Linked DNA regions of Drosophila melanogaster. Changing the gene in region 1 together with any one later gene gives a genetic interaction. Each region holds a gene or a part of one and is shown in the gene's direction. Other genes may lie near its edges. The genes, in order: ninaC and Rh3.

Region 1 (13,753 bases):
TTAAACGGGCTACCAAACCTGCCACATAATTTACGAAAAAAATGCGACAGCGACGCATGCGCACAGCAGCTCAGCTTAGCTTAGCTCAGTTTGGATCGGATCGGATTGGATTGGTTCGGATCAGCTCAACTCAGTTTGGATTGTATAAAGCAGTGGCGGAGACTGAAAATCTGAGGGGGGTTCTTATTTGACATTCTTAAAATAAAGGTTTTTGATATGTTATCTAAACTACAATTGGCCGAAACATACTAAAAGAAAATCGTTACTTTTTATGCTTGGAAATGAGTTTGGGTTAATTGTATCCCCTCATTTCTCCCCCCTTGCTTGTACTCTGGCTTGGGGGATCGGTCGAAACTGCGGCACGTTCACATCGAAATCGACGTCTAACTGCCACTTGCAATTTTCGTTAGCCATTTTGCTGTTGACACATTTGCAAATTATCAAGCGTCGCTGCTGCCCCGCCAACTGCCAGCAGTTTAAAAGTGTTAATTACGACGCAAATTTATAATTAATCGTCGGCTTAGCCCGGTAACTCCAGCTTCACTTCAAGCTCCAACTCAGGCTCCAACAGCAGTGAACTGGGGAGCAGCCAGCCCATCGGGCGTTTTGATTCATGTGTCCGTGTCCGGTGTCGTGTCTATTCAAATGATAGCAATTAACGCTGGCAATTATCGTCGGCCAAACAATTATGATACTTTGTTTGTGCTTTAGTTTAATAGTTTATTTATGGTCTTTTAATTGCTTGTCCGCCAGTAGGCGGGATTAACTGCCATTTGGCGATGGATTGCATTTGATGAGAACACTTAATCATTTGCTAATTACGCAAATCTTACACCACTAATTTTATTAACTTGTTATTTTTATATTTTAATAGATACCACATAATTTTCTTTTCTGATGATTATATCTTTAGAAAAACATAAACATGACTAATCTGAGCCAATTTCCGCACAGGCACCGTGGGACGCAAGTGCAATCGGAACACCACGACCAGCGACGGATGCACCTCCCTCTGCTGTGGCCGTGGCCACAGCCAGGTCATCCAGCGGAGGGCGGAGCGGTGTCACTGTAAATTCCAATGGTGCTGTAATGTGGAGTGCGAGGAGTGCCACGTAGAGGAATGGATTAGCATATGCAATTAAGGACAATGGACGCAAGACGAAGGACGATGAAGTGATGGAGCGATGGAGCCTCAGCCACATGCATAAGAAAAGACTTTTCTTCATTCTCACAGAACTTAACACACAAAGAAATCAGTATTACAGAAAAAAAAACATAAAGTACGCAATAGGGCAAACATCAATAAACAACGTGTGTGAATGCAATGCCTAGTTTAGCAATCTCCAGCCATTTGGAATACGTATAAATATATTTTGTAAATACGAACAATAAGATGCATAATTAGTCTGTCAATCAGCTGACTTTCACTCGCATTGCCAATTTCCCTTTCACCTCGGCATTTTGGCCATCTGTGTCGCCGCTTTTTTCACTTGCACGTGAATGTCGCCGCCGCTAATTGAATTAGCCAGCTAAATAGTTGTCCAAGGTGTGCACCCAGGTACTGCCCATTGAATGGCTTCCTTCCTTGCCAGTGAAAAGCCTCCGATTGCATTGGCCCATCATTTAGTTGGCTAACGGCAGCGGTACGTGCTGCATGCGTGCGGTCGGTTCGAAGTTCCACACAAGTACATCCTTGCAACCAAAAATACACAGCTGCAGGATAAGTGTGCCAATCTGCGGCAGCGAAGGTGTGTCCTGAAGGATTAAGTGTTTGAAGCCCTGTGAAGTGGATATAATACAAATAACCCCCTAGAATCCCTTTATCCAAAGTTGCTGATTCAAAATACAAACCTAGGAAGGATTAATTACCAAGGATAAATCGTACATTTAACTTTTTCGTTTTCACATGAATTATTTAAGTGTTTTATAGAAAATGGTTTTATTATAATTTTACATTTCAAAATTGCATCTTATTTGTTTAAAGGTCCTTGAAATCTTTCGTGCTTGCAAAGCAAACATTCCAAAATATCCTTACGTTAAGTAAACCAAAGTAACTTAACTTTCACCTTTAAAGAAAAAGCAAATTGTTATTAGAAGCAAAAGATTACAATGAAACCTCTAGAATGCCCATTCTTAAGTGTTTTGCAACAATGAACCCAAATATAATGCGATTTGCATGAGGGAAAATTGAAAAAGAAAACCTTTGAAGCCCATTTTATGATAGACCCAATTCCCAAGTTTAACCCACATGTTCTTCGAATATTCAGAATAAGCATCTAAGTCATGATGTATTTACCGTACGCGCAATTGCCGGATCCTACGGATAAATTCGAGATCTACGAGGAGATAGCCCAAGGCGTCAATGCCAAGGTTTTTCGGGCCAAGGAGCTCGACAATGATCGGATCGTTGCCCTGAAGATTCAGCACTACGATGAGGAGCACCAGGTTTCCATCGAGGAGGAGTATCGCACTCTGCGGGACTACTGCGACCATCCCAATCTTCCCGAGTTCTATGGCGTCTACAAGCTGTCGAAGCCAAACGGACCTGATGAGATCTGGTTTGTCATGGAGGTGAGTCAAAACATTTTGTTAATATTTTATTAAATTTTTTCCAAAAATTTAAATCCAATTTTTTGTAATTTATATAAACCATTTGAATATTTCAGTACTGCGCTGGGGGAACAGCAGTGGACATGGTTAACAAGCTTTTGAAACTGGATCGTCGAATGCGAGAGGAGCACATCGCCTACATTATCCGGGAGACTTGCCGTGCTGCCATCGAGCTGAACCGTAATCATGTCCTGCATCGGGACATTCGGGGAGATAACATATTGTTGACCAAAAATGGACGGGTCAAGCTGTGCGATTTCGGTTTATCCCGTCAGGTGGATTCCACTCTGGGCAAGAGGGGCACCTGCATTGGATCTCCCTGCTGGATGGCTCCCGAAGTGGTGTCCGCCATGGAATCCCGCGAACCGGACATCACCGTTCGTGCCGATGTCTGGGCCTTGGGAATCACTACCATTGAGTTGGCCGATGGAAAGCCACCGTTCGCTGACATGCATCCCACTAGGGCCATGTTCCAGATCATTCGCAATCCACCGCCGACCTTAATGCGACCCACTAATTGGTCGCAGCAGATCAATGATTTTATATCCGAGAGTTTGGAGAAAAATGCCGAAAATCGGCCCATGATGGTTGAGATGGTGGAGCATCCATTCCTCACGGAGCTCATCGAAAACGAGGACGAGATGCGATCGGACATCGCAGAAATGTTGGAACTCTCTAGGGATGTAAAGACTTTGTACAAGGAGCCGGAATTGTTCGTGGACCGCGGCTATGTGAAGAGGTTCGATGAGAAGCCGGAAAAGATGTATCCGGAGGACTTGGCTGCCTTGGAAAATCCCGTGGATGAAAACATAATCGAGTCACTGCGTCATCGCATTTTGATGGGGGAATCGTACAGTTTCATTGGCGATATCCTTTTATCCTTGAATTCCAATGAAATCAAGCAGGAATTTCCGCAGGAGGTAAGTTGAAAACATCTAATATGTATACTTAAATATGTTATATTTATCCTTTCTCTAGTTCCATGCCAAGTATCGCTTCAAGTCGCGTTCGGAAAACCAGCCGCATATTTTCTCGGTGGCCGATATCGCCTACCAGGATATGCTGCATCATAAGGAGCCGCAACACATCGTGCTCTCCGGAGAGAGCTACTCGGGCAAGTCCACAAATGCCCGGCTGCTAATCAAGCATCTGTGCTACTTGGGTGATGGAAATCGTGGGGCCACCGGGCGCGTGGAGAGCTCCATCAAGGCCATCCTGATGTTGGTGAATGCAGGAACTCCGGTAAACAACGACTCCACAAGATGTGTCCTACAATATTGCTTGACCTTTGGAAAAACCGGCAAAATGAGTGGGGCCGTTTTTAATATGTATATGCTGGAGAAACTACGAGTGGCCACTACGGACGGAACCCAGCACAACTTCCACATCTTCTACTACTTCTACGACTTTATTAATCAGCAAAATCAGCTTAAGGAGTACAATCTGAAGGCTGATCGCAATTATCGTTATCTGCGAGTTCCGCCAGAGGTTCCGCCATCGAAACTCAAGTATCGTCGTGATGATCCCGAGGGCAATGTGGAGAGGTACAGGGAGTTCGAGAACATCCTGCGGGACATTGATTTCAATCACAAGCAATTGGAGACCGTTCGCAAAGTTTTGGCTGCCATTTTGAACATTGGCAACATCCGTTTCCGGCAGAACGGAAAGTATGCGGAAGTGGAGAACACGGACATTGTGTCCCGGATCGCCGAGCTCCTCCGTGTGGATGAGAAAAAGTTCATGTGGTCTCTGACCAACTTCATTATGGTCAAGGGCGGGATCGCCGAGAGGCGACAGTACACCACTGAAGAAGCTAGGGATGCACGCGATGCGGTGGCCAGCACGCTCTACTCTCGATTGGTGGACTTTATCATCAACAGGATTAACATGAACATGTCCTTCCCACGGGCTGTGTTGTAAGTAATATTAAAAAAAAAGTTACAAATTCATAAGTTTAACAATGTGGCTTAAATAACTTTTTAAGCGGAGACACAAATGCCATCATTATTCACGACATGTTTGGATTTGAGTGCTTTAATCGAAATGGTCTGGAGCAACTAATGATCAATACTCTAAACGAGCAAATGCAATATCACTACAATCAACGTATTTTTATCAGCGAAATGCTGGAAATGGAAGCTGAAGACATTGACACCATCAACTTGAATTTCTATGACAACAAGACAGCTCTGGATAATCTGCTAACCAAACCGGATGGCCTGTTCTACATCATTGACGATGCCTCACGCTCCTGTCAAGATCAGGATTTGATTATGGGTATACAACCAATTCTGGCACCACTTTGGATATGTGATTTAACCACTTTCCATCTACAGATCGCGTTTCGGAGAAGCACAGCCAGTTTGTGAAGAAGCACACTGCCACTGAAATATCCGTGGCTCATTACACGGGCCGCATCATCTATGATACGCGCGCCTTCACCGACATCAACCGGGACTTTGTGCCGCCGGAAATGATCGAGACCTTCCGCTCCTCGCTGGATGAGAGCATCATGCTCATGTTCACCAATCAACTGACCAAGGCTGGCAATCTCACCATGCCATTCGAGGCAGTGCAGCATAAGGATGAATCTGAACGGAAGTCATATGTAAGTCTGTCACAGTTTTTATTAGCTAACCTAAATTTGGTATATTTTTGTAAACTATGCATTTCAGGCCTTGAATACCCTAAGTGCCGGATGCATCTCCCAAGTGAACAATCTACGTACCCTGGCGGCCAACTTCCGCTTCACCTGCCTGACCCTGCTCAAAATGCTAAGCCAGAATGCAAATCTCGGCGTGCACTTCGTTCGCTGCATTCGCGCTGATCTGGAGTACAAGCCCAGATCCTTCCACTCGGATGTCGTCCAGCAACAGATGAAGGCCTTGGGAGTTCTGGACACTGTTATTGCTCGCCAGAAGGGATTCAGCTCGCGTCTGCCATTCGACGAGTTCCTAAGGCGGTGGGTAATCGATTCCATTCCAGTTTCCATTTAAAGATTTCTAAATATTTAAAATATTCGTATTAGATACCAATTCCTTGCCTTTGACTTTGATGAGCCCGTGGAAATGACCAAGGATAACTGTCGTCTATTATTCTTGCGCCTCAAGATGGAAGGCTGGGCCTTGGGCAAGACCAAGGTGTTTTTGCGCTACTATAACGATGAGTTCTTAGCCAGGTGAGCTATCAATTCATACGCATTGAGAAAAGCAAGTACTATCAATTGCTTTCAGATTGTATGAGCTGCAGGTGAAGAAGGTCATCAAAGTGCAGTCCATGATGCGAGCTTTGCTAGCACGGAAACGAGTTAAGGGCGGCAAAGTTTTCAAATGTAAGATATAAATAATACTTATACAGTATATGGTATGAAATCTAATTTTAAATTCCCTATTAGTGGGCAAAAAGGGACCGGAGCATCATGATGTGGCCGCGTCCAAAATACAAAAAGGTAAAAAAACGCAGGTGGATAGGCTAAGAGAGTACGACGAGGAGCACATCGACATAAGCGAGACGCCCTCGGAGGCGGAGGAGATGTTCCTCGAGGCCAGAATGGATGAGGCTCTGGCAGCGGTGCGAATAGCCAAAATCGAGCAGGCCTCCGCCGAGGAATAGGCCCCTACTATATACCATTTATACACACTATATCACTATATCGATCGATACTAATCGTAATACGACTACCAATAAAATGTAGAAAACGCAAACAACCAGCTATCATCTAGTCTAGGGCCTCGGCAAACCACTTAAGCCGCTTAGTGGTGTCCAATGTGGATACCATCCCACCCCATCCCGCTGGGCGGTTGTGTTCTCCATCTGATGCAACCAATCGGCTTATAGCTGTCTGAGACATAACACTTAACATCGACGGCCCCTGCGAAAAGAGATGAATTATAAGTGCTGCGTAGAAAAGAAATGAAAATTTAATTAAATTAAGGTGACTTCCCTCTCATTCACCACCACCGTCCACCGCCGCGACCGCTTTTCAAATGGGTTACTCTAACGGCCTTCCTCCGTTTCCATTTTCCCACAGCCTTCAGGGGATTCCGCGACCGCGTCCGCCTCCCTCCGCTGGTCAACGAGAAGTCCGGCCAACTAAACGAGAACACCGCCGACTTTATCCGTCCGTTTGCCAAGAAATGGCGCGAGAAGTCTATCTTCCAGGTCCTCCTGCACTACCGCGCGGCTCGCTTCCAGGACTTTGTCAATCTCTCACAGCAGGTGAGTTCAAATCTCTTATCTTCAAATCCAATATATATATATATATATATTATATTATGTACCAGGTCCACATCTACAACCAACGAATGGTGGCTGGCTTGAATAAATGTACTCGGGCTGTGCCCTTCGAGAGGATCAATATGCGCGAAGTGAACTCCTCGCAGCTAGGACCACTGCCAGTGCCCATAAAAAAGATGCCATTCCGCCTGGATCAGATACCCTTCTATGACACCCAGTATATGGTGGACCCGGCCAATTCCATTTCCCGCCAAGCCTTCCCCAATCAGCTACTAACGCAGCACATGGAGGACGATGAGCCTTGGGACAGCCCTCTGCAACGCAATCCTTCGATGACTTCTTGTGCCCTGACCTACAATGCCTATAAGAAGGAGCAGGCTTGCCAGACCAACTGGGATCGCATGGGCGAGAGCGACAATATCTACAATCAGGGCTACTTCCGAGATCCCCAACAGCTGAGGAGGTTAGCAAAGATACTCAAAGGTTGAACTTAAGTTTCTAACACTTTTTTTCAGAAATCAAATGCAGATGAACATGAATGCCTATAACAATGCCTACAACAGCTATAACAGCAACTATAACAACCAGAACTGGGGCGTACATCGATCCGGATCCAGGCGCAACTCCTTGAAGGGCTATGCGGCGCCTCCACCTCCTCCTCCACCAATGCCCTCATCCAACTATTATCGCAATAATCCGAACCAGCAGCAACGCAACTATCAGCAAAGATCCTCGTATCCTCCGTCGGATCCAGTTAGAGAACTTCAGAACATGGCTCGCAACGAGGGTGATGTAAGTGTATGTCAATTTCCTAAGGAAATTCTTCAGATATTTTCTTTCCAGAACTCTGAGGATCCACCATTCAACTTCAAGGCTATGCTGCGCAAGACTAACTATCCGAGGGGATCCGAGACCAACACCTATGACTTTAACAATCGCCGCGGATCGGACAGTGGTGACCAACACACGTTCCAGCCGCCCAAGCTACGCTCGACAGGTCGCCGGTACCAAGACGATGAGGGCTATAATTCATCATCGGGAAACTATGGTGTGTCTAGGAAGTTTGGCCAGCAGCAGAGGGCTCCGACCTTGAGACAATCTCCAGCCAGCGTGGGTCGCAGCTTCGAAGATAGCAATGCTAGATCCTTCGAGGAGGCAGGATCCTATGTAGAAGAGGAGATTGCACCTGGAATCACTCTTTCAGGCTATGCCGTCGATATCTAAAACTAGTGATTAAGAGTAAAAATATTAAAATTAATTGTTATGCAAACCATAAGACAATTTAGCTAAAACCCACCTAAAATTCCAAAATAATGATTGAAGTTTTCTTCATCACTTTCTCAAAAACGTTTCACACAATGGAATAAATAAAATGTCTTGGGATAAATCGTTATTTAAATTTTCACTTTTTTCTTACCGCATTTCATTTTTCTATCTCTATAAACCACTTAATTATTTAGGTTATTTGTAGGTAAATGCTACCTTGGCATACTCAAACATTTAACTTTAAAGACATTGATATAAATTCAGCAATTAATTTGCATTTTATTGACGTAGGATAAAAATGGGAAAAATTCGACGAATTAACATTGCTTATTATGCTTGCTTCTTTGTTACATCATTTAAATGATTTACTTTTCTCACTTTAAGATCTAAAACGCAACAACAATACTCTCAGTATTTCATAAACTATATCCATTATACATTGTATATATAAACATTAATACCTAAACAAAAACGTTTATAGGAATGGATTGAACAAATACTCTTTTGTTCGCAGGACTTTTTTTGTGTGTTCGATAGGGATTGCAAAAAAGCTAAGGAAACTGAATTGAATCATTAACTGCACACCCATATCGGGCATGGTCTCACAAATTCTCGATGATAAAACAAAACTTTTTCCTTAAATAGTTTCACATAATATCAATCATCCATGTTGGGCTCACGCAATCCATCCGAGTGCATTTTCTTGCCCGCAATTTCCAACATGGCCCGATCTTCCAAATTGCCATCCAGCACAGAACGTTTCTATGGGTTAAAGATATGATTATTTATTTAATATAATATTGAGTTTAATTTGACATACGTGACCGTCGCCTTCTTCGTCTTCTTCTTTAACTGGTAAGTCTCCTACGGCCCAAACTTCCATGTTTCGTATTTTGAACTGTTTCCGTTTACTTGGGTACGATAAATAATTGGTAGATTAACCACAATTGTTTAAAATAATGTTGAATTAAAATATAGAATCTAGTGGTCTGTAAGGTGAAACATAATCAAGATTTTAATTTACACTCACCTCAACTGCACGTAGTCTCGATATGTAGTGCAACTTTCAACGCTTTGTCCATCGCCGAAACTGCAGTCAATCCAAAGGCCCCAAAAATCAAACTGACCGCCCATGCCCTGTATACGAAAAATATAAACATTTAGCAAAGCAATCAATCAATTAGCTATAAACATTACTCACCAGGCCATTCGGCATAGTCTGCTGATTCAAATTCAAATACTGATAGTGATTGTTATAAGTTGTGGCCGAAAAGCACCGCATGGCAGGGCTTAAGGTGTAGAGCAATGAGCTGTCATCGCCTCCAAATTGCGGTTTCACGGACCACGTTTCGGACGCGTAGCCGCCAAATATATATTGATCCTCGTCCTCAATAAAGAACAGCGTTGGTCCTTTGTCCAGCACTTTTCCCAACATCGTCGAGAAGCTTTCCCCGTTGATTTTCGATGAGAATAGAAAGCGCCATTTGTGCCGATGTTCGCGGGGCAGCTGAGCATTGATATACAGGACGTGAGGTAGTTCGATGATAGGGCGATAATGACTATTTTGCGGAGCATCTGGAAAATAGGAAAAAAGTTATAAACGATTTTAATAAATTTAAAAATTTTCTTTGTCCTACCACACAGTGCTGGCAGAATTGGAATTTCCATTTCCTTGATTATGTTGCGTTTGCTGCCACCATGGCGACAATACAGCTGGCTAAAGACCTCGCGCCAAATCTGCAAAAACTGCGGAGTGACGTGTAACCAACGTTCCAGGGCATCGTTGGGCATAGTGTGCTCTAGCTCCTTGCCCAGATTTCTCATAAGGCCCTTGGCAAATGTGGCGGCGGACCTTTCCGTGGTGTTAAAGCCAAGATCGTGCCACTCCTTGATGCCAGAGTTTTTCGCTGTACTTTCCAAGTGCACGTAGCTCTTGATCACCGAGTAGATATACTGGGGAATTATAAAATTGATTAATTCGCGAGCAAAAGATAAAAGAATTAAATAAACAAGTTGTTCATATGACAGCTAAGAAAATAAACGTGGAAATCTAGTTTTCAGGATAAACATAAATGGAGAGCTAAACCTAATTCAATAACAAACATGTTATGAATCCTAATGAGGCTCGGCTGACAGAAGTTATAAATATTATTTCCGCGATCTGATGACAATGACTACTTATTTATAGACTCACTTGCTCCAATTGCTTGCTGTTGAAGGTGTCATTTCCACTTCTCTCCATTGAGCCCAGGAGCATTTGCATTTTCTGGTCAATAGTACCGCGTTCCATGATGTAGTAGGGCTCTCCAAATTTCTTCAGCTGAAGGTTGACACATTGCTGACCTGGCTTCGTGGGCGTAAATAGATACTGAGCCGTACTTTCGGCCAGGGATCTTTCGATGGTTTGCGACCAAGTTTCCTATTTTCGAAACAAAACAACAGATACATGTATATGTGTGTACATAAACAAAATGCGCGCCGGATACGTAAACATAATTTTCCCGCTGCTGTCAGCAAATTCTTGCAGGGAACGAAGGTCTGGGAAGCGCTGACACAGATTAACCCATTGAAGGACGTACAATGAATAATAATTTGGTTTGACTGAAAACAAAGTCTCTCAAGTTTTATGAAAATAAATACTACTTCAATGTATGTAAAGTTTCAATTTAGAGAGTTTCCGCTTAAATTACTCTATATGAATGCAAGTCTTATAATTTCCTCATTCTAAAAATCAACTATTTCACATGCCATGCTGTAAACGGGTTAAGCATATGGTTTATTTTTAATTCAATTGGGTTTGGCCCTAATTGACGACCCCAGTCATTGAAATCACGACTAATTCGTTAGCAAGCAAATTCAACAAAGCAAAAGACAAACAGTGAAATGCGGCAGCAAACAAATTAGACAAATTATGGACACGTTCGCACTGGCCCAGGAATTATCAATTCGAAACTGATAACGCCCGAGTTGAAGATATCGAATTTTGCTATACCCTAGGAAGCGCTGTGATAATCAAACACGAGCTATAAATAGATGGAAATATTATAAGGAAAAATCATCATCTGGTTACAAACAAACATTTTTTGAGTGGTTGCATTTCCGTCATCTGTGCTGTGATAAAAATAAAACACAAATCTGGGGCCTTGAACCCGCATCGGAAAAATTATAGCATAAATTGTGTATGATCAGATTGATTTAACTAAATGGGTTAAAATAACAATTTTGGAAAGTTACGTGTACATTTAATCTAAATAGGACTGACTAGTTTAGAAAATTACATTTTTAAACAAGTTGAATAATTTACTTTTTATAAACTCTGTTAAATTTCCTGGTTTGCACTTTAAATCGAAAAAGAACTGTATTAAAATAAGGTTTAGAAACTTTGAACTTTTGTATAATGCCGGATAATGTTGCGACTCACTCTCTTATATAACTAAGCTTCTTTTTCGGAACATAGTACTATGATTAACTTCAATGTTTAATCCTCGAAATAGGAGTTAGTGACAACAACAAATTAATGCCCTAAAGGATATACCCATTCAAGTGAAGGGTGGCCATCGCAGCAGGTGGATGGACGGCCGTTTGTCATGCACTCGAAAGTCCCGATTTCTCTTTTTTTGCCGAAGAAAGTTCACTCCGCGCGTCCTTGAACTTGTGACCCTGACCCTTCCGCAAATGCAGAATGCAGTTGCCATTGATTTTCGCAGTGCACACGTGGCACGGTAACTGGATTTACTTGACTTACCACCAATCTGTCTTGGGTCAACTTCTCAAGTGCTCCGCCAGAGGCGTTTTTGTACGCGGATTCCAGCATGCGTAGCTCTTCCGAATTGTAGAGATTATCCGTCTCCCGCTTGCCACTCGCATTTCCCATCTCAGGACACGAAATTCAGTTGGCTGGTGCTACGACGGCTGGTAAACAAACAATGCAGCTGCAGCTGCGGATGATCGCGGATTTTAATTGAAAATAAAAAACAAACAACACAAGCTGGTGATGGAATGGCAGTCGATTTCCCTGCGATACCCTCGATAGTTTCGGAAACGGGTAAATTTCGCGGTGGTCGTCTGCACTATGAATGGTTATTGTCTGTGCTAAGTCAGGTCGATGTATTTGCTAAACGGTTAATTTTAACCGCTAAGCGAATTCAACGAAGGCCAAGCGAATAAAATAAATTTTAAATGCCTTGGATAGCTGTAGTTAAAAATTTATTAAAATAAAAAAAAACTTACAAGTTTGAGCTAAGATACCTTTGCCCTAGCCCGGTATTTTTGAAATTATCTCAGTTACCTTAGCAACACGCCTTATTAAATCAATTGCCTGGCCTAATAAAGTTCTCCCACACAAAAACACAATAAATTCCGATACAAAACTGAAGAAAGCTGGCATACCGACAGATATTTCCGGAATACGATTGGCCAAATCTGTGAGTAATCCAACGCGAAAGGATGATTGGCACTAGCAGCGGAACGTCCCACAATCGGAGTCGAAAGAAGAAAGAACAGTGCGGATCCTGTCCCAACAGATTCTCAAAGGATAAGCGCCAGGTGGCCGCCGAGGACTCGGATACCACGGAGGTGGAATCGTCTACGGATGAGGAGGAACGCTGGAAGGAAGTGGCGCGAGCCGCTGAGATTCCGGCTGACTATTATAATATCCAAAAACTGGTGAAATACATCAAGGCGGGCAATCAGACAGCCACTATAGTATCGTTGTGCTGCTTGAAGGACTACGATCTGAGCACCCAGATCAATCAGTTCGCCATCTCGGACATCGGCGGACTCGATGTCTTGGTTAACATCCTGGAGTGCAGCGACACCAAGTGCTGTTTGGGCGCCCTCAAAGTTCTCTCAGATATCACACTGAACATCGATATTAGGAAGACCATCGTAGATCTGGATGGCATTCCCCTCATTGTGGACATCCTAAACTCTTCCATGAAGGACCTAAAAACCATGGCCGCCGAGACATTGGCCAATGTGTGCAAGGTGCGACTGGCCAGAAAGTATGTGCGCACCTGCGGAGGAATCCCCAAGCTGGTGGATCTCATCGACATCAAGTTGAGGTGAGTTGGCATTGGATAAAGTGCTTCATACTACATCACCACATATAAGAAATAATTAAAAAAAAACCTAATTATATTATAGCATTCTAAAGACGCCTCGTGACCAATTGAGTCCAGATGATCTGGAATCTCTCGATATGACACGCGCTGGAGCCCGGGCTCTTTTCACTCTGGCCGATTCCAAGCACAACATGGAGCAGATGCGCAAGAGCGGAATTGTTCCTTTGATGGCTCAGCTCCTTAAGTCCTGTCACATCGATGTCGTCATTCCCATAATGGGCACCGTTCGAAAGTGCTCCTCGGAGCCGAAGTTCCAACTGGCCATCACCACCGAGGGCATGATTCCCGACATTGTGAGCCATCTGAGTTCCGAAAATACCGAGCTGAAGATGGAGGGCAGTACAGCGATCTACAAGTGCGCCTTCGACGGAACCACCAGGGATTTGGTGAGGGAGGCTGGGGGCTTGGAACCTTTGGTAACTATCATAAAGGACAAGAATGTGAGGGAAAATAAGCCTTTATTGAGAGGCGCCACTGGAGCGATTTGGATGTGTGCCGTAACCGATGCAAATGTCAAA
Region 2 (9,620 bases), on another chromosome or scaffold:
TTGGTTATTCAAATAGTAAACATAAATATAGCATAAAGCTACAGTATTAAGAATTTATGTCGTTTTAGTGCTTTAAGTGTTGGCCTTTGAAACATGACAACCTTTTCCTTTGTCGTGATTTCATAATAAAAAAAACTTAATTTGTACGTCGTTCAACCGACTTTTTATGTACAGCTTAATAGTTTTGCTCAGTGCACCTTTGAATTCAACTGTGGTAGTATCTTAGCTTGAGCGGGCTGCATCTTCCTCTCTGGTTCGACAAGTCCGAGTCGAAAGCCGTGACCAAAGACGTGTGATTTATAACTAATTGATGAACACAATCATGTGGTTGATGGTCACATGGCCAAGAGCGGGCCATGTCCTTGTGGCCGCAGTACAGTTATGTTCAAGGTCGCTGTTGAAGCTGAAGTCGAGCGCTTCGCTTGAATAATTTGCGGCATAACCAAGTTTATTATGTTTAGGACCGCCGAGGCGTGTTTCCATGGGGAATGGAGGAAATGTTTTGGCTGGGGCATCGCCTAAATAGCGTGGTCGCATTTCCGTTTCCGCTTTACGTAATTAATTCGAAATTCGGGTTTTATGCGGCCCTCTTTTGTTGTAAAATTGCCGTTGCTGAGCTTTTATTTTTTTATTGATGAATAAATTTAATTGAACCAAATGGATTTCGTTTGGCGTCATGTAACCGTTGGTATTCTGCCTAATGGCTTTCAAACACACACCCCCTTCGCTCACTTAACCCTTCACTTCACTTCACGCATTTGTATTTGTGGGCTTTCTACAATAGCTATTGCCAGCTGGCAACGTATTTTAATTGAATTTCAATTGATTGCAAAAATGCTCAATTTGGTGCCGCAACCAAATTTCATTTTAATTAATTAGAATTGATAACAATAACGGGTTTCCATGCCTTTTTTGTTTCGACCTCGTAGAATAATAAATGACTTAATGGGTTTATATTTATGTTAGCCGGCGGTGAAGGGCGGTATCACTACATGGAGTCGCCATCAAGATCCAACCGGAAAAATCATTATTGGAAAATCGGGGTTAGGGCCAGAATTAAATACCCACGAATGTCCGGGATAATTATTGATTGAATGTGCCGAGATATCAAAATAATCGAATTGACAATGCAACTTTATTAAATGCTGCCAGAACAGTAGTTGTATCACAGCCATTGCGCAACTATATTATTACCCGTAAATTGCGTTAGCATGTTCTTGAATTTCACATCTGAAATACACAGAATATATTATGCATACTATAAACTTATACTTATTTGGCTTGATTAGGTATTTCATTGCATAAAGATAAACTAGCTGAGAGCGAAATTAAATTTAGCTAGAATTTGGAAAATGATCTTGGACGCTTTTATATAAATAAAATAAAATTAATATGTTTCAGAATGATCTTGACTACCAAATTTTAATTTATCAAAGTCTTGCTATCTTGCGGTTCTGAAAACCTATGTTAAATGTTCATCATATTTTATGAAGTTACACTTTTAAAATTGAAAATATAATTTATATCGTAACAAATGCTTAAGTACCCTCTTTGCTTCTAAAATCATAAAAAATTAAACACTGTTTGGCCCTTAAATAGTTTCGCTAATGCGGGAAACCGTTTTGCAAACTTTTTCCCATTTGGCGAGCATAAGCTTTCCCAAAGTGAATTCACATCTTTCCCTTTGCTGCAGGACATACCAAACACACACGCACAGTAAAATATGTTCACCAAACTGCAATCAAAGCGACATAGCACAAATTTCACAGATTTTTGCACATTAAAAATATGTTCGCTTTTCCAGATGCTATACACTAACAAACACACATAGTGCCACGCCTCCCATGAGCCCATTTTTTGCATGCCAAAAAAAAAGAAAGAGTAAACTTTTTATGCCAACGAGGCCAAAAAAAAAATCCGCATGTGGAAAAGAAATCGAGACAGGGGATCCACAAGGAGCTGCCGGGCAAAAGGGGACGTTGTGGCCAATGCTGCGATGCCGCAACTCAACCTTTTATGGCCCGGAGCCATGGCAAAATGCAACGCTGAATTTGATAATCAATTACCGTGCCATAGCCGAAAGGATGCGACCGAGGTCCTGTGGGGGCCACACATGACTCCAAACACAAGTAAATGCCCCCGAATACACTCACTTTGTACAACGCCACGTATGAGTAATATGCGGGATTGTCTATGCCAAAGGGCATGTGTGGGTGAGTTGCAGGTGGTAATGCAAATAAATATCCGAATTCGCCTAGATTTTCCAAAAAATGTTCATTACAAACTGCAAATTGGTTTGTGTCTGCTCAACAGCTGCTACCCGCTGGCCGTGTTCATGTAAATATATCCTTGTCGTTGCATATCTTAAACCAATTAATGGATTGCCAGTCACAAATGCTAAAAATTCCATATATCTTGTTTTCATTCAGAAGGCAGGAATTTATGGCAGGCAGTAGGAAAGCTCAGACCAGAATATTTTCTTAAATCTGATAAAGTGGATTTATAAGCTTAGCTAACAAATACTTATCTATGAGGTACAATTTATTTAGCTGCGTAATTTGTTGCCTAAAATTCATGTGCTACATTCGGGTTAGTTAAGTTTCGATCTGCTAAGATAGAGTAGTTGAAGGAAATTAAAGCTCAGCTGCCTTTTTATCGATTCACTTGGCAATTGCGCTTAAATGGAGTTTCTTTTTAAGCAGCAACTTTCATTTCCGCTTGTCATTAATTGACGCTGTCAGCTTTGGCAGCAATCACTTAATGAAATCATTTAATCAGTGCCGGCGACAATCGACAAAGTGGAAGTGGCAGCCCTTCCGCTCGCTTCTCTAGGAACACATGTTCCATTTATGCTGCACACTAATCAACCTGGCACTGCCAGCTCAGTGCTATTTGGCTCCCCATCGCCATCGGTTGCTCCAATGACACTAGGGAATTGTGGGCCGCCGACAGCTGTCCTTAATTACATGGAAATCCACACTAGATTCGTGCCCCTCGCCCCGTACTCGCAGCCGAAGTCCCCACAGAGTCATTCACCTTGCCACCACCAAAAAAAAAACGAAAGCAACTGAAGGAAAAGTTCGATTCGAAGGCTGAGGGATACCCTTAAAGGCCCATTTCCCGGCTTCGTAAATCACATTTAGTTAGCCATTTAGACTACAGCAAGTCTTTTAAGATACACTGCAAAATAAATACCATTACATTAATAGAAGTGTCATGTCATCGGTCTGTATTTTTGTTACCACAGAATAGACTTACATATATGATAAAAAAATGTTCAACAATAAGTTACATCGGTAGCCAATTCTATAGATTTAATTCCTTACGAATATAGTTTCGTTGGAATACTCAATTTGTAATTGTAATTAATTATAATTATTATAATTTTAAGAATTTATATAAGTAACTAAAAGACACGGCAGACACAGAATGAAAACACTCTATGTTAGGGAATGCAAAAAAACGTGGCGGAAGCCAAAAGGCGCAAGCAAAAATCGAAACCAAGTGAATATAACATATTATTTCAACAGGCAACTCATTCAGCATATAATATTACCACCCATGGAGCTTTATGTAGTTGATGTACGTAGTCTATGATGTGGAGCCCACGTTGGCGGAACTGGGAATGGGGATTGGGGTTTGAGAGCTGTGGTAAATTGGGGGGTTGAAGTATCAAGGGTTTGGGTTCTGTAGACCTGCGGAATCGAGGTGAATAAGCGAAGAACACATTCACACACACTAAAAGGCAAACAAAGGGAAATCAATCTTTGTACATACTTTTAGCATATGCACACGTATGATCTCCACCCACTTTTCCCTCCCAATGAAACAAACACACACACACATGCAAGGCCGTACGTTTGTATATGTGTGCGGTTGTCGGCTTTGCCGGGAATTGGGGAATATTTGCATGCCTTTGTGTACTTTTTCCATATGATTTATGACCTAAATTGTTGCTGCTCGCGCACATATAATTACACACACATCGCTGTGGCCATGTGTGTGTGTGTCGTCTTGGGACGCGCGCCAAAGTATGCTACACTTTTTGTTTTATGAGTTAATAAGTAGGCGTGGCCCCAGCCCAATTGCTACACTCTGATTATGGCACCGGATACCCAGATAGACGCCCATCCACCCCACTGTAAGATGGGGGAATTTCCAAACCTATATGTATGTGCAGATCAGATAGGATAGCACAGAACTTTTTAAAGTACACTTTTGGGGCACGCAATTTAGAAAATGTACCTCGGTGTCGGAGAAATTATTTTAAAAGTCGACTGAACCACCTCGTTCCATATGGAGAAGTCTACGAGTTCAAGTTTAATGGAGCAGCTGACTGCACTGAATTTTGTAGTTTAATACACAAATCCGCAAATTGCATCTCACTTCAAATAGCCTGGTACATAGTATCTACTAACATAACTCATATTAAAATAAAGCAACCAACCAGAGGGCCGAAGTTCTATTAATAAAACTAATATTTAACTATTATATATACATTTTATTTACTTGGTACGCTTATGATAACCTTCGAAAGAGAACCAACACAATACGCTTTGTCATTTGAAAAATAAATATGCTGTAACTACTTTACAAGGTGAAACTCTTGTCAGAAGATAAGAGGCTAGGTAAGTTGATTATTCAATCAGTTTACTTACTGCAACCCAAAATGGTCACTGCACTAACCTTCAGATGAGCTGCACTACACCCTCAATCGAGAATCAATGCAAACGCAGTGCCAGCGAAAATGTCAGCAAGGGATTAGGCCAATCCCAAACGGGTAATCCCGCTGCGACAATGCTAATCCAATTCCGATGGGCCGTATAAAAGCCCCAAGCTGGGCTGGCTGTGATTTCGTCTTGGCCCGCAGACCGGAGCATGGAGTCCGGTAACGTGTCGTCGAGTCTGTTTGGCAACGTGTCCACCGCGCTGCGGCCGGAGGCGCGGCTCTCCGCCGAAACGCGTCTGCTGGGCTGGAATGTGCCGCCGGAGGAGCTGCGGCACATTCCCGAGCACTGGCTAACTTACCCGGAGCCGCCCGAATCGATGAACTACCTGCTGGGCACGCTCTACATCTTCTTCACCCTGATGTCGATGCTGGGCAATGGACTGGTGATTTGGGTCTTCTCCGCAGCCAAATCGCTGCGAACTCCCTCCAATATACTGGTCATCAATCTGGCCTTCTGCGACTTCATGATGATGGTCAAGACTCCGATATTCATCTACAATAGCTTCCACCAGGGATATGCGCTGGGTCATCTGGGATGCCAGATCTTTGGAATCATTGGCTCCTATACGGGAATCGCTGCCGGTGCCACCAATGCGTTTATAGCCTACGATCGATTCAATGTGATCACTCGACCCATGGAGGGCAAGATGACGCATGGCAAGGCCATTGCCATGATCATATTCATCTACATGTACGCCACTCCATGGGTGGTTGCCTGCTACACGGAGACTTGGGGCCGTTTTGTGCCGGAGGGATATCTGACATCCTGCACCTTTGACTATCTCACCGATAACTTCGATACGCGACTCTTTGTGGCCTGCATCTTCTTCTTCAGCTTCGTGTGTCCCACCACGATGATCACGTACTACTACTCCCAGATTGTGGGCCATGTCTTTAGCCACGAGAAAGCACTGCGGGATCAGGCCAAGAAGATGAACGTGGAATCGCTGCGTTCGAATGTGGACAAAAACAAGGAGACGGCGGAAATCCGGATAGCCAAAGCGGCCATCACCATATGCTTCCTGTTCTTTTGCTCGTGGACGCCGTACGGAGTTATGTCGCTGATTGGCGCCTTTGGGGATAAGACCCTTTTGACGCCCGGAGCCACAATGATTCCCGCCTGTGCCTGCAAAATGGTGGCCTGCATCGATCCGTTCGTGTACGCCATAAGTCATCCCAGATACCGCATGGAGCTGCAGAAGCGATGTCCCTGGCTGGCGCTCAACGAAAAGGCGCCGGAATCGTCGGCTGTCGCCTCCACCAGCACCACCCAGGAACCACAGCAGACCACCGCCGCCTAATGCAAATTCCCACCCAACAGCCACCCATCCAAAAAATGCTGACAATGATGATGAACTGAAACGGCAACGAACTCGTAATACCAAACGCCAGGGAAAATTGTATAAATATTTCACGGAGTTTCTGCTAGAGTGCAAAGAGTTGAAAATATTTTCTTGTTATGATTTGTAGTCACTTTTGTGTTTATGAAAGAAATATAGTAAAATTACAGCAAGCTATGGAAAAAAGAGTTATATAAACTGTTTTTTTTTTTTTATTTCGTCGAACTAACCAAATAATGATGGAAGTTAAAGAGGATTTAATTTTACACAACTTTTTTGTGTTAAAATATGGCCAAATGTAAGTAACTGAACATAAAAAGTTAAGTAAATACTCTTATCAACTGAATAAGTCATTAACTCAGTTGACAACTTTAATAAAATAAATTCTTAAAAATCTTGAGTTGATATAATCAGGTCATACTCAACGCATTGTGCAAAACACCTATTGTTTCACCAGGTTTACTTATGTTTATAGAAATCCTAAATGTTTGGTGTTTTGCTGATAACGAAAATGTGCATTCATTCGAAGGGGAAAAACTTCTTGATGTAAAAATGTAGGCTCAGTCCCGCTTTGAACTTTGCCCCCTTGTCAATTGTCAATCGTCCACTTGACGCGGCCATTGCAGGGCACTCAGACGAGCCGAAGAAGGCGGCTTAATGCTCCCAGGAGCGGAGATGGCCAACAGCAAAAGAGTTGGCCAAGAACAATAGGGAATTGTGCCAGTTCCAATGGAATCCACAGACGGGAAAGCAGCTCTCTAACTCTCTTGTGCTCGCTTACTTTCTCCGGAGAGCGAAAGCTTTAGCAGGTGGAAGGATCCTGCGCAGTGCGAATATTGAAACATTTTTGGGAATGAAACATATATGGGGGAATGCTGAATCGAACACAGACCGAATATTACAGGAATTTTGATAAATAACAAACTTGGGATCCACACACACTTAAATACCTGCACGTGGCACCCGAGGGAATTTGCATTTGTATCCTAGCCATCAAAGTAAACAAAATAACGGCCTGAAATCCACATGGAGTCCACTTGCAGCCCAGTCTCATTAGTCACGCGTCCTTTGGATTTTGAAGCCTGCGGTAACTGGCTGTAAATCAGCAGAACCTTGGCCACAAAGGATGCCTAGATTTTTGTGCCACACAACTTCCACATGGCCTCCGCTTTGGCTTACGCCCACCAAACACCACCCCAAATGGCATTTAACAAATTGTTGGCCAAAGTGTTGCACCGTGTGTTTGTGTGGCGCCTCATTATTATTGTTTTCCCAGCTACCATTTCCTTCACACTTTTCGTAAAGCCCCTCCCCTGCCTCCCCTGAGTTTGCCTATCTCTGCCTTTCTCGTTGGCGCCTAGCCTAGCACGCTTTTCCACTTATTGCCTGGCGGGCATTTGCCAGAGCCTTTTCCCTGCGTCGTTTTGCGGCGAACCCAAAAACCGCACACAGACAGCCAGCGAAACGAGCTGGGAAAACTGGTGGGTATGCCAGAGAAAATCAGGGGGCAGATGCGAGGCAGATGCGGGAGAAAAGCGCTGAGCGAGTAGCAAGGCCATAAACCAAAATCGGTCGCAGCCACCGACGCGCGCAAATGGTAAAAACGAAGTAAAATTAATGAAAATCACACACACACAGCCTGATATATATAGTTATATACAAAAACAGACAGGCAGCCAGACGGAGCGGTCGGCGGGCAGAGACAATTAAAATGGCACCCACAGAACGTCCTTGCACCGCTGAGTGAATGCCGCCAGGCAGCGCCACACAAACCACCCAGCCACCCAAGCCACCCAAACCATCGAAAACCACCCAAACCACCCACAGCCACACAGGCCATGCGAAAACCAGCCACCGCACGACGGCACGGCACATTTGTCTTTCACGAAATTCGCTTTGGCTCTCATTAATTAAGATAATTAGGCCTTTTCGACGCCTTCAAAGTTCAACGTTCAAAAAAGAGCAAGGTGAATGAAAAACGCACCCGAATACAAAAATACAACAAAATGTCGGCAACATGAAGGGGCCGCATTTTGTGACAGTTCAAAGTTCAGCATCGCATGTTGCAGTAACTCCGGAGAAATGGGCTCTACAATTTACCTTTACCCACACATACATTTAGTACACAGTTTGCGTGGGGAAACTCTCTATGGACTTTGCTTAATGAGTGGTTGGCGGCTTGCTTGCGTTTGATTGCCCCACATGGTCGCAAACCACTCTCTCAAAGACCTCCATTGTGCAGAGACTTATTTTGAGGAGCCTTCGAATGCAACCGCAACAGAAATTGCGGACATGGTGGTTTGCAATCCAACAATTTGTCATCGCCAGAGTTCACTGTACAGTGGCGCAACTCCTCACAAAAAGTACATATTTGTGCAATATAAGAATTTGTTAATGCATAATAATGCATATAGAAAGTATAACTATATATATGCAGTTCAAGTTTCTCCAAGGACTTCCAGTTTGCATCGCACTCTGCTTTGATGAAGCACAACTCGATTTCCTTTTGACTGGCGAAAGGCAATTTCTTTTCATATTTTTGCATATTCCTCGAACTGATTAAAATCACTTGCAGCTGCATTCTCGATAGCTCATAAAAATGTCAGCTAAATTAGTTATAAATCAGCTAGGAGCGACCCCATGCTGTTTTCCAGCAAACTCGACTTGAAATGCACAAGACACAAGGCAGTTCACAACTTTGTGAGCCAAAATGAAGCCATAAATTATACGAACTAATAATTATATGCCATCAAATTGTTGTAAGCAGCGGCAAAAGCAAAAGCTATAGCAAAAGCCAGCTAACGGGAAGGCTAAAGTCAGCCAGTGAGTTTAACGGCCAACATAAATTATAGACATTTAAAAACGGGGTGGTGGATGCCACGTTCACTTAACGGATCAAGGGGGGAGTTTGGCGGAGGAGTGAGCTATGCGGCATGGAATATACGATTTTTATCACAGTTTATGCACTGCACACAAAGTCAACATAATAAGGTCAACACGCACACAGGACTAAGGACGAACTGGTTGTGGGTGGCGCCTAGTTGGGTGTCGCTTTAATTAAATGGCAACATCCAGCGAGCCAGAGAGCAAAGTTCGAGGTCATCTGCCAGTCGCCGCTTTACAGCAATTACGCCCTGCCGTCACAATTTTTTACAGCCCAGCAATTTGCAACAAAATTAGCCCGAAAATGTTACGCGGCCATGGCCGTGCCTCATTCAGAATCCACATAAACAAAAGATTGGGTTAAGCGTGATCGTGGGATTCCGGACTGGAGCATACGTCTAAGTGACTCTCCATGGATGGGCCATCATGACAAATGCCTCGTAGCCACCTCTTTTCCCCTGGCGCAACAGACGCCTCATTCCAGTACTACTACTCCACCTCCTGAATGGCATTCTCGTCCATATCTTGGCAGTCGTAAAGTTCCTGGCATGGCAACAAAAAAGAGCGTTTAAATTTTGTAATTTAAATGCAAATTGACAGGCAAATGACAAACATTGCAATTAACGAGGGACTAGCGGGCGTATACGCAATGTGGCCACAAACTCACA

What was found.
Region 2: of ninaC (region 1) and Rh3, changing one suppresses a phenotype caused by changing the other (phenotypic suppression), as found in Drosophila melanogaster (one study listed by BioGRID).

Annotation. Positions count from the first base shown.
Region 1 is NT_033779.5:7,376,118-7,389,870, forward strand, and holds ninaC (neither inactivation nor afterpotential C), read left to right. Parts: upstream 1-1,584; 5' UTR 1,585-1,748; intron 1,749-2,267; 5' UTR 2,268-2,283; coding exon 2,284-2,571; intron 2,572-2,666; coding exon 2,667-3,530; intron 3,531-3,588; coding exon 3,589-4,526; intron 4,527-4,594; coding exon 4,595-4,887; intron 4,888-4,946; coding exon 4,947-5,218; intron 5,219-5,285; coding exon 5,286-5,572; intron 5,573-5,638; coding exon 5,639-5,788; intron 5,789-5,843; coding exon 5,844-5,941; intron 5,942-6,004; coding exon 6,005-6,058; coding exon of another isoform or gene 6,059-6,222; exon of another isoform or gene 6,223-6,640; coding exon 6,641-6,828; intron 6,829-6,893; coding exon 6,894-7,309; intron 7,310-7,361; coding exon 7,362-7,638; intron 7,639-7,689; coding exon 7,690-8,070; 3' UTR 8,071-8,227; downstream 8,228-13,753. Other genes in the region: Wnt10 (Wnt oncogene analog 10), read left to right, coding at 955-1,142; CG5149 (uncharacterized protein), read right to left, coding at 8,770-8,874, 8,933-9,023, 9,143-9,249, 9,314-9,687, 9,750-10,065, 10,307-10,531, 11,858-11,986; gudu, read left to right, coding at 12,559-13,175, 13,258-13,753. UniProt on the Drosophila melanogaster protein: Required for photoreceptor cell function. The ninaC proteins combines putative serine/threonine-protein kinase and myosin activities. Essential for the expression and stability of the rtp protein in the photoreceptors.
Region 2 is NT_033777.3:20,077,685-20,087,304, reverse strand, and holds Rh3 (rhodopsin 3), read left to right. Parts: upstream 1-4,854; 5' UTR 4,855-4,878; coding exon 4,879-6,030; 3' UTR 6,031-6,245; downstream 6,246-9,620. UniProt on the Drosophila melanogaster protein: Visual pigments are the light-absorbing molecules that mediate vision. They consist of an apoprotein, opsin, covalently linked to cis-retinal.